Mus musculus: one gene and its partner. The protein of the gene in region 1 interacts with the protein of each later gene in a biochemical or structural test. Links are inferred from orthologs where the notes say so. Each region holds a gene or a part of one and is shown on either strand. Other genes may lie near its edges.

What was found. The genes of interacting proteins can lie anywhere in the genome.
Region 2: the proteins of Trim7 (region 1) and Rnf187 interact in a test that uses a peptide from one of them, tested with the Homo sapiens proteins (2 studies listed by BioGRID, with this or other methods). The link is inferred for Mus musculus from reciprocal best matches to the Homo sapiens genes TRIM7 and RNF187.

What each region holds. Positions count from the first base shown.
Region 1 is NC_000077.6:48,836,113-48,840,272, forward strand, and holds the start of Trim7 (E3 ubiquitin-protein ligase TRIM7), read left to right. Parts: upstream 1-1,358; 5' UTR 1,359-1,414; coding exon 1,415-1,933; intron 1,934-2,252; exon of another isoform or gene 2,253-2,513; intron 2,514-2,548; exon of another isoform or gene 2,549-2,602; coding exon of another isoform or gene 2,603-2,605; intron 2,606-2,724; coding exon 2,725-2,820; intron 2,821-3,653; coding exon of another isoform or gene 3,654-3,683; exon of another isoform or gene 3,684-3,728; intron 3,729-4,122; coding exon of another isoform or gene 4,123-4,160. UniProt on the Homo sapiens protein: E3 ubiquitin-protein ligase that have both tumor-promoting and tumor-suppressing activities and functions in several biological processes including innate immunity, regulation of ferroptosis as well as cell proliferation and migration.
Region 2 is NC_000077.6:58,936,100-58,940,361, reverse strand, and holds the start of Rnf187 (E3 ubiquitin-protein ligase RNF187), read left to right. Parts: upstream 1-1,455; 5' UTR 1,456-1,577; coding exon 1,578-1,967; intron 1,968-3,129; coding exon 3,130-3,222; intron 3,223-4,262.

The DNA of each region.
Region 1 (4,160 bases):
TGACCTTGAACTCCTGACCCCGTGCCCTTTAACGCTGTGATTTACAGGTCTGTGCCACCAGGCCCAGCAAATAACACATCACCGAAGGTCCTCGATGTCATGACTCTGAGTTCTTGGTGAACCAGAAGAGCCTTAGCTCACCATCAGTTGTCCTGTGCCTGAAACCGGTGGCCATTCTTTAGTCCAGGGATTCACTTGTTTCTTCAACTGACCTAATAATGTTCCTTATCTTCAAAATAATTGTAGGTGAGTTTGCAGAAAATTTAAAACGTCCCATGGTGGAAGAGGAGAGTCAAGCAAGAGCCTTGAGGTTATTATGAAGACTTCAACTTCTTTCCTGGGAGTTAGCAGCCACTCACTGGTGGGGTTTGAGCAGAGGGCTCTGATGGATACTGTGGAGACATGGGCTCTGAAAGGGTTCTCTAAAGTTAAAAAAATTTTTTAAAAATGGAAGCGATTGTAGAGTGTGGTGACTGAGGCCGGGGGATTGAACCAGGGCAAGGAGCCGAGTGGGGGACTCTAGAACCCAAGAAGAAAGTAGGAGGTCATAGACCGGAGAGAAATGGAGGTGGTAGCATCCCGAGTGGCGAGGAGAAAATGCTGTGAGGAAGGACAGACACACCAGAGAGGTGAGGTTTGCAACTCTCGGTTAGAATTGGGCGAGTGGATAGAGACATTGACAAGAGAGGTTTTGAGAGAGGCAGAGAAAGAAGCTTGACCCAAGTGGCCTCCAGAATGAAAGGATAGAAAAACTACTCCAAAAACAAAAACAAAACGGTCCCTGGAACCCAGCTGTATACCAGCTGGGGAGAGACAGAGGGATTTGGGGTAGGTGTGGATTCTGAATGAAATGAGGGTAAATGGCTGTATTACTTGTTCAAAATTAAAGGGATAACTGTAAGAGATGATGTAGTTACAAAAGTGGACAAAAGGCCACGCTTGGGATGAGGAGGTAGAGCCAAATTCCAGACCCTAAGTTTAGCTCAGCGCAGTGCCAGGATGAGTCGGTATGCGGGGAACCAGACACCTTGTCCCGGGAGCCAGGCCTTTGCCCCTGTAGGGCAGGGTCAGCCTAGGTCAGCTACTGGGAGTGGAGCCCAGCTGGCCTTGCGCGCTCACCTGTCCCCGACAGTTCCCTACTGCTGACTGGGCCATACTGGGCGGCCTAGAAAGGCGGTGGAAGGGGGGTCGACAAAAGGGAGATCGGGGCTAGGGTGGTGGCTTTGGGAACCCAGAGAAAGGGCAGCACCTGCCTCCATTCTCAGCTGGGTGCACCCTCGGCTCACGTCTCAGCTTGCCCGCTGCCGGCCCCGCCCCTCCTCGCCCAGTGGGTACTCGGAGCTCAGCCCAGCTTGGACAGTAGCATCCAGGGACCTCCCCAAAGCCACAAGACTCGAATGTACTAAGGACACGGATGGCGACTGTGGGGCCGCGGACCGGGCCGAACGCAGGAGCCGAGGCGCTGGCCCTAGCGGCAGAGCTCCAAGGCGAGGCGACGTGCTCCATCTGCCTAGAGTTTTTCCGGGAGCCGGTGTCAGTCGAATGCGGCCACAGCTTCTGCCGAGCCTGTATTATGCGCTGCTGGGAGCGTCCCGGAGCTGGGACCGGCACGGCGACCCGCACGCTGCCCTGCCCACTGCCCTGTCCTCAGTGCCGCGAGCCCGCGCGCCCCAGCCAGCTGCGACCCAATCGACAGCTGGCCGCGGTGGCCTCGCTCCTTCGGCGCTTCAGCCTGCCCCCCACCGCCCCCGGGGAGCGCGGGACTCCAGCGGTGCCTGCCCGGGCGGCGGCTGCGCGGTGCTCCCAACACGGAGAGCAACTTAAGCTCTACTGCCAAGACGACGGCCGCGCCATTTGCGTGGTGTGCGACCGCGCCCGCGAGCACCGTTCGCACGCCGTGCTGCCGCTGGAGGAGGCGGTGCAGGAGGCCAAGGTGGGTGCAGGATGTCCCGGAGCCCTGGCTCTGCTCCAGCCCTCCCAGCTCTCCTTGCGGACTGCAGGCAGGGTCCTACAGAAAAGCCCCGGTCTCCTTTTTCTCTTTCTAAAACTGTTTTCCCCTCATCTCTTCTCGTCCCTCAGAGCCCGATGCCTGGAGGCCTGGAAGATGGCCCCAGGGACTTGAAATCTTGTCTGTCCCCAACCGCTAATGTAACTCTGCCCAGGAGAAATTCTGTTTGTCACGCCCACATATCCACTGCCACACTCCTACTGCGTTCCCAGGGGCGTGGCACTACACAAAGTACCAAGTTCAAAGAGGAAGAACACAGAATAGCGTCCTGGGTTAGGTGGTCTGTCTGAAGGGCTGTGAAGCCCATTGGTTCTGGGCATCTTCCCTTTTAGTCTGTCCCTCGATAGGCTGCGGCACAAGAGGCGTGTGCAGCTCCCAGTCTCTGCTGCCCTGTTGTGCTCCAGCCTTCCTACAGGATGAGAGGAGAGCTGAAGATAAGATAGACCGAACCAAGGTGGGAGTCTCGATTCTCACCGCAGACCACGTGATTGATGCCCTTGAGGAAGTGAGACTCCCGGACCTTTGGAGTTCCCCTGCATTTGTTCTGCACCAATAGGCTTAGTCTGCAAGTCTCTGTTCACCCCATAGCCAGAGATGGTATCTATCCAGTCTCCTGCTCCTGAGAGCAGAATCTTGGCTTTCTCCTGGATGGTTCTAGGAAAGTACACGAGAGGGTATCCAGAATTTTCTGACCACGTGTCTTCCTTCTACCACAGGAGTTGCTGGATTCCAGGCTGAGGGCCTTGAAGAAGGTACTGGAAGACTATGAAGCGTTCCGGTCAACAGAGGAGAGGGAGAGCAAGGAGCTTCTAGTGAGTCCAAGTGTGAGAAGCATAGGGTTGTGGATGACCAAGGCAGAGAGAGAGAGAGAGAGAGAGAGAGAGAGAGAGAGAGAGAGAGAGAGAGAGAGAATATGGTTGAAACAGTAGGGTGGATTTCAGAAAGACAATATGGTATACATTACAGAGGTTGACTATATAATTTATAATATAAACTAGAGCTGTTCAATTCATCTTTAGGGTGCACAGTCATTCGTAACAAACCAGTTAGGACCTGTAGCAGCATCTTGTAATTTGAATGCATTAGCATTTCTTCACAGAAACACGTCATATTAAGTAGGAACATACGGTGAGGAGCCACACATGCCTGAGGCATGTTCTGCCACAGGAGGAAAAAAAACAGTGAGGAAAACGTTTTGTTTTCTGAGCTTTAATTTAAGAATTAGAGGTTTCTGGCTGGGCAGTGGGGGCACATTCCTTTAATCCCAGCACATTGAGTCAAGGCCGGCAGATCACTGTGAGTTCGAGGCCAGCCTGGTCTTCAGCATGAGTTCCAGGATAGCAAAACTGCACAGAGAAGCCCTTTGTGCTGATGCTGAGGAGGGATCAGAGCTGTTCCTGGCAGAGCACTGTGGCTTGGGGACTTGTTTTGGTTACTATGGACAAACACGAGTCACTATCATTTTCTACCTCACAAATTCAGTTCTTGGCTCAAAGGTGCCTGAGAATGAAAGGAGGAACCACGAGTGCCTTTTAAGGCAAGGTCATTTGTTTATGAAACTGGGATCAGAGGGGAGGCCTGGAGGGACCCTCTTATGCTTTAAAAAATTATCTATTTACCTATCTATTTATTTGTGTTTCTATAGTTGGGTGCATGGGCTACTGTCTGCCTGTAAAGGTCAGAGGGCAACTTTGTGTCAGTTCCTGTCTTCTACCTTAAGGTAAATTCTAGGGATTGAACTGGGGTTGCCAGGCTTATGAGCCAAACAGCTTTACCTGTTGAGATATTTATTTCACCAGCCCTAAGCCCTTAGGTTAGGAAGGGAAGCCCATGAAACTCAGATACACAGGCTCCTTTCTGGGCCCTATGTGGTTGCTATTATTGTTCTGTTTTGTTTGAGACAAGGTATCTCTCTATAGCCCAGGCTACCCTGAAACTTGCTACATAGACCAGGCTGGCCTCAGACCTACAGAGATCCACCTGCTTCTGCCTCCTTAGTGCTGGATTGAAGCTGTGTGCCACCATGCCTGGCCCTCCCCTTATCCTTAACTGCTTTTATATCTGTAGCTATTGGACATCCCAGACTTTTACATCTGACCATTCATTTCCTAAAGCAGAGTTCACCCATCCAGACCTTTGTTCCACCTCTTTG
Region 2 (4,262 bases), about 10 Mb from region 1:
TAAGGACACTCCAATCCCTCAGATAAAATGTTTCTCTTACACACATCACATCTCTCTCTCTCTCTCTTACACACACACACACACATACACAATTCTCTTTCACTCACAGACACAGACACACAGACACACACTTTTATTTATTTATTTATTTATTTATTTATTTATTTATTTATTTATTTTTGAGACAGGGTCTTACTATATAGCTTTGATTGGCCTGAAACTCACTGTGTAGACAAACTGGCCTGGAACTCACTGAGAACTGCCAGCTCTAATTCCTAAGTGCTGTGATTAAAAGCATGTATCATTATACCCAGCTAAAACATCATAATATTTACATGCATCTTTCTATGTAATATTTTTTTCCTAGATGACTTATGATACTTAACAGGATGTGAATACTGTGCAAATCTTCATTCTATTGTCTAGGAAATAATGACCAGAAAAGGGCTGTATAGCTTTAGTACAGATGTGGCTGCTGCCATAGTGTTTGGAGCATATAAATGGCAACATCACTGTCTTAGTTAGGGTTTCATTACTGTGAAGAGACACCATGACCAGTGTAACTCTTATAAAGAACATTTAACTGGGGCTGGCTTACATGTTTAGAGGTTCAGTCCATTATCAAGGCAGGAAGCATGACAGCATCCAGGCAGACAAGGCTCTGGAGAAGGAACTGAGAGTTCTACATCCTGATCCAAGGCAGTCAAAAGACTGTTTCCCGCAGCTAAGAGTGAGGTCTCAAAGCCCACGGCCACAGTGACACACTTCCTCTAACAAGACCACACCTCCTAATAGTGCCACTCCCTGGGCCAAGCATATTCAAACCACCACAGTCACATTTACAGTTATATCCGCAATCTCAGTCTGAAGAGTCACACATTGCAGATAGCTGACTACAGCTGTATTAACACAATATTCTTTAGAGTGCTTTCCTGCAAAACGTGCTGCTGTTCTGTGTGCACAGTGAGACTCCCTGACTTCATTTTATGTCGCTATCTTAATTTGGTCATACTCCTGGTTGACTACACAGGCATCTGCCTACCTAGCCAGTTTTATCCTGCTTCAGGGCTGAAGGTATAGCGATAAGTCACCCTGGAAAAGCCTTTCCTGACAGACCACCTCCCAAATTATCTGTGGGAGATGGGCAATTATTCATGATGTTGGGGCAGTACCCTGCAGGATGAGTAATCTTATAGGACACAGGGAGTATCTTTGTAAGGATCTGGGTTTGGAGCCCGCGACTGACACCATCAGGACAAAGGTCGTGAGCTGCTACGGGAACCAGTGTGGAAGAGAGCTCAGCTGCTCAATCATGGGCAGGGCGATGAGCGAATACCAGAACCTGAAATGAGAGCGCACAGCTGCAAGGACCTGGATGGAGGAATGCGCAGCTGCCAGGACCTGGACGTCAGAGCGCACGGCAGCCAGGACCCCGCCCCGCGCGCGCGCGTGCCCGGCGTTGGCGCAGTCTGGGTCTGAGTCGTAGGCTGAGGCTCGTCGGCCTTGATCTCCGGCCGGTCCTCGGCCCTTCTGCGCCCTCTCCGCCCGCGCCCTCGTCGGCGCCGCCGCCCGCAGCCCTGGCGCTCCCCGCGGGCCCAGCTGATGCCATCTGCGCCCTGTGTCAGCGCGCGCCCCGCGAACCGGTGCGCGCCGACTGCGGCCACCGTTTCTGCCGGGCGTGCGTGGTGCGCTTCTGGGCCGAGGAGGACGGGCCCTTCCCGTGCCCGGAGTGTGCCGATGACTGCTGGCAGCGCGCCGTAGAGCCCAGCCGCCCTCCGCTCAGCCGCCGCCTCCTGGCTCTCGAGGAGGCGGCCGCGGCGCCGGCGCGCGATGGCCCTGCCAGCGAGGCCGCGCTGCAGCTGCTCTGTCGCGCCGACGGGGATCCGCTGTGCTCCGCCTGCCGCATGGCCGCTGGCCCGGAGCCGCCGGAGTGGGAACCGCGCTGGAGGAAGGCCCTGCGCGGCAAGGTGCGCGAGGGGCCCCTGCACACTGTCCACCTTTGTGGCTTACCTGGAGTCAGGCATTCGATCAGTGTGCTGACCTCCTCTTCCCTCTCCCGCATCCCATGGGTGCCCAGCACCCTCCCTTCCCCGGGGACCCTGCCATGCTAGGGGCTCTTGGATCCTGGAGTCCGTGATTCTGCCTTCCTTCATCTCTATTATCTGTCTCCCGGACCCTGCTATGTCCCTCGAGCTATTATCTCTAGCGCATGCTCCTCCGTCCCCCTTTCATCCCAGGTCTCTGGCCTAGCTGTGCCTTATCTCTATACAACCTTAAGACTTCTATTTTTCTCGAATTCCCCTCAAGTCCCGATCCCATTCCTCAAGGCCTCTTGCTCCTATCCCGGTGTGATTTCATCGGTGCAAGCCCCGCCCATCCACTTGCTTATGGAGACCTGAGAGTGGTCTTTGGTCTACCAGTTACCATTTGCAGCCCTCTGAGGGGCTGTCGGTCCACCTCATTCAGGAACCTTCTCTGCTATACTCTCTTGGTCATTGCACGTAGCACCTGCCACCGGGCAGAAACCGACTATTAGACTCTGTGTGAAGATGGGTTGCAGGGATCTAGATAGAGTATCATCCCTGACCCAGAGAGAGATGTCTGAATAGCCAGGTAGGAAAGCCGTGGTCTCCGCCCGACAGGAGAGAAAATCGTAGCTTAGCGTGTTTGAGGGTGCTGTTATCCTTATGTTCTGCAATGATGCACCATGAGCCTCTGGAATAAGTTGTGAAGAACACTTTTGAGGTGGAGGCCTGTGGTTACATCCAGGTCCCAAACTGAGGTAGATACACTCTGTCAGAACATACTGCTGGGGTTGTCCTATGGTTTGTCGTCCCCTTACTAAGACAGCAATCTCCACAAAGACCAAGCAGGACACAGAGAAGTCAGGAAAGTCACTGTCTTAAATCAAGCTGACACTAAAGGGGACCTACCTAAAATCCTGGAATCACACAGCTGACCTTGAATTGCCTGCTGTACACCTAGTTCTGAAGAGGTAGAAGCACAGGAGACCCTTTTACGAAACAACCACTTTCCAGCAGAGACCGGACGAGTAGTTCCAGTCGCCAGACTGCTGATCGGGGTGTTCAAATCCTTCTTCCCAGGCTCTAACCAGCTTCTCTCTCCCAGGAGAACAAGGGCTCTGTGGAAATCATGAGGAAGGACTTAAATGATGCCCGGGACCTGCATGGTCAGGCAGAATCAGCGGCTGCTGTGTGGAAGGTAAGTGGGCTCTCCTGGATATGGGGAGCTAGCAGGGCAACCAAGCTGAGCTGCTGGAGTTTGGCTGGCTGGACTTGGTGAGTTGAGTGTCCGTAGGGCTCCTCTCTTCGGTGTGCTTTATATAAGGATGATTTGTGAGCTTCAGGTTCCTTTTCTACACAGGACACTTTCTAGTACTCTTGATTCTGACCAACCCCAGCTGTTACCAGTAGAACATTCTGTTTTCTGGCTGCCACACAATACCACACACATGATTGCCCTGGAGGCTGGAAGTCCAACAGGCAAGCCATGGCAAGTCCAAGTTGGGGCTAGCTTCCGGTGGCCTTTCTCACTGTGTTGGCACATGGAGAGTGGGGAGGGGGCTCTTTGGGAGTCCCTTTTACTAGAGCACTGATCCCATGTCTCTTTGGTGGGACTAACCACATCCCAAAGGCCCACCACTTAACACCATTGCCTGGAGGTTTCAGCACAGAGATTTGGGGACACAAGATTTGGTACTTAGCTAGCCTTCACCTGATACCACCCATGGCATTAAACACCAAGATGACATTATGTTACAGTTTGTTTGTTTGTTTGTTTTGTTTTTAGGTTACTTGTCAACAAAACCACACATTAGTTTAAACCCTGCAAACTTTTCCTTTTATATATTAAAATTCATTATAGTTCCCTGCCCATTTTTTTTAAAACATAAAACCAAAGTGTTTTTGTAGACTACAGAAACCCTGAAGCCCTCAGATGGTCTGCGCCGTAAGGCTGAAGGCACCTGCTCTACCTTTCACAAAAATTGGAAGACATTGAGGACACCTAGTTTTCTACAAGCCCACAGCAGTTCCAAGGATAGGTTCTAGAAGATTTAAATACGAAGATGGGGGTCCGGTCAGAGGGAGGAGCTTGGCCAGACAGCTGTTATCTGGCTGGCATTTATGTCCTTTCAGCAAAAACATTCTTCCTTCAGGAACATGGGTGTCCCCTGTGCTATGTGACCCAGGGCCAGGACGAAGATCTGAGTGCAGTTAGGAGTGTCTGTTTCCAATCCTGCT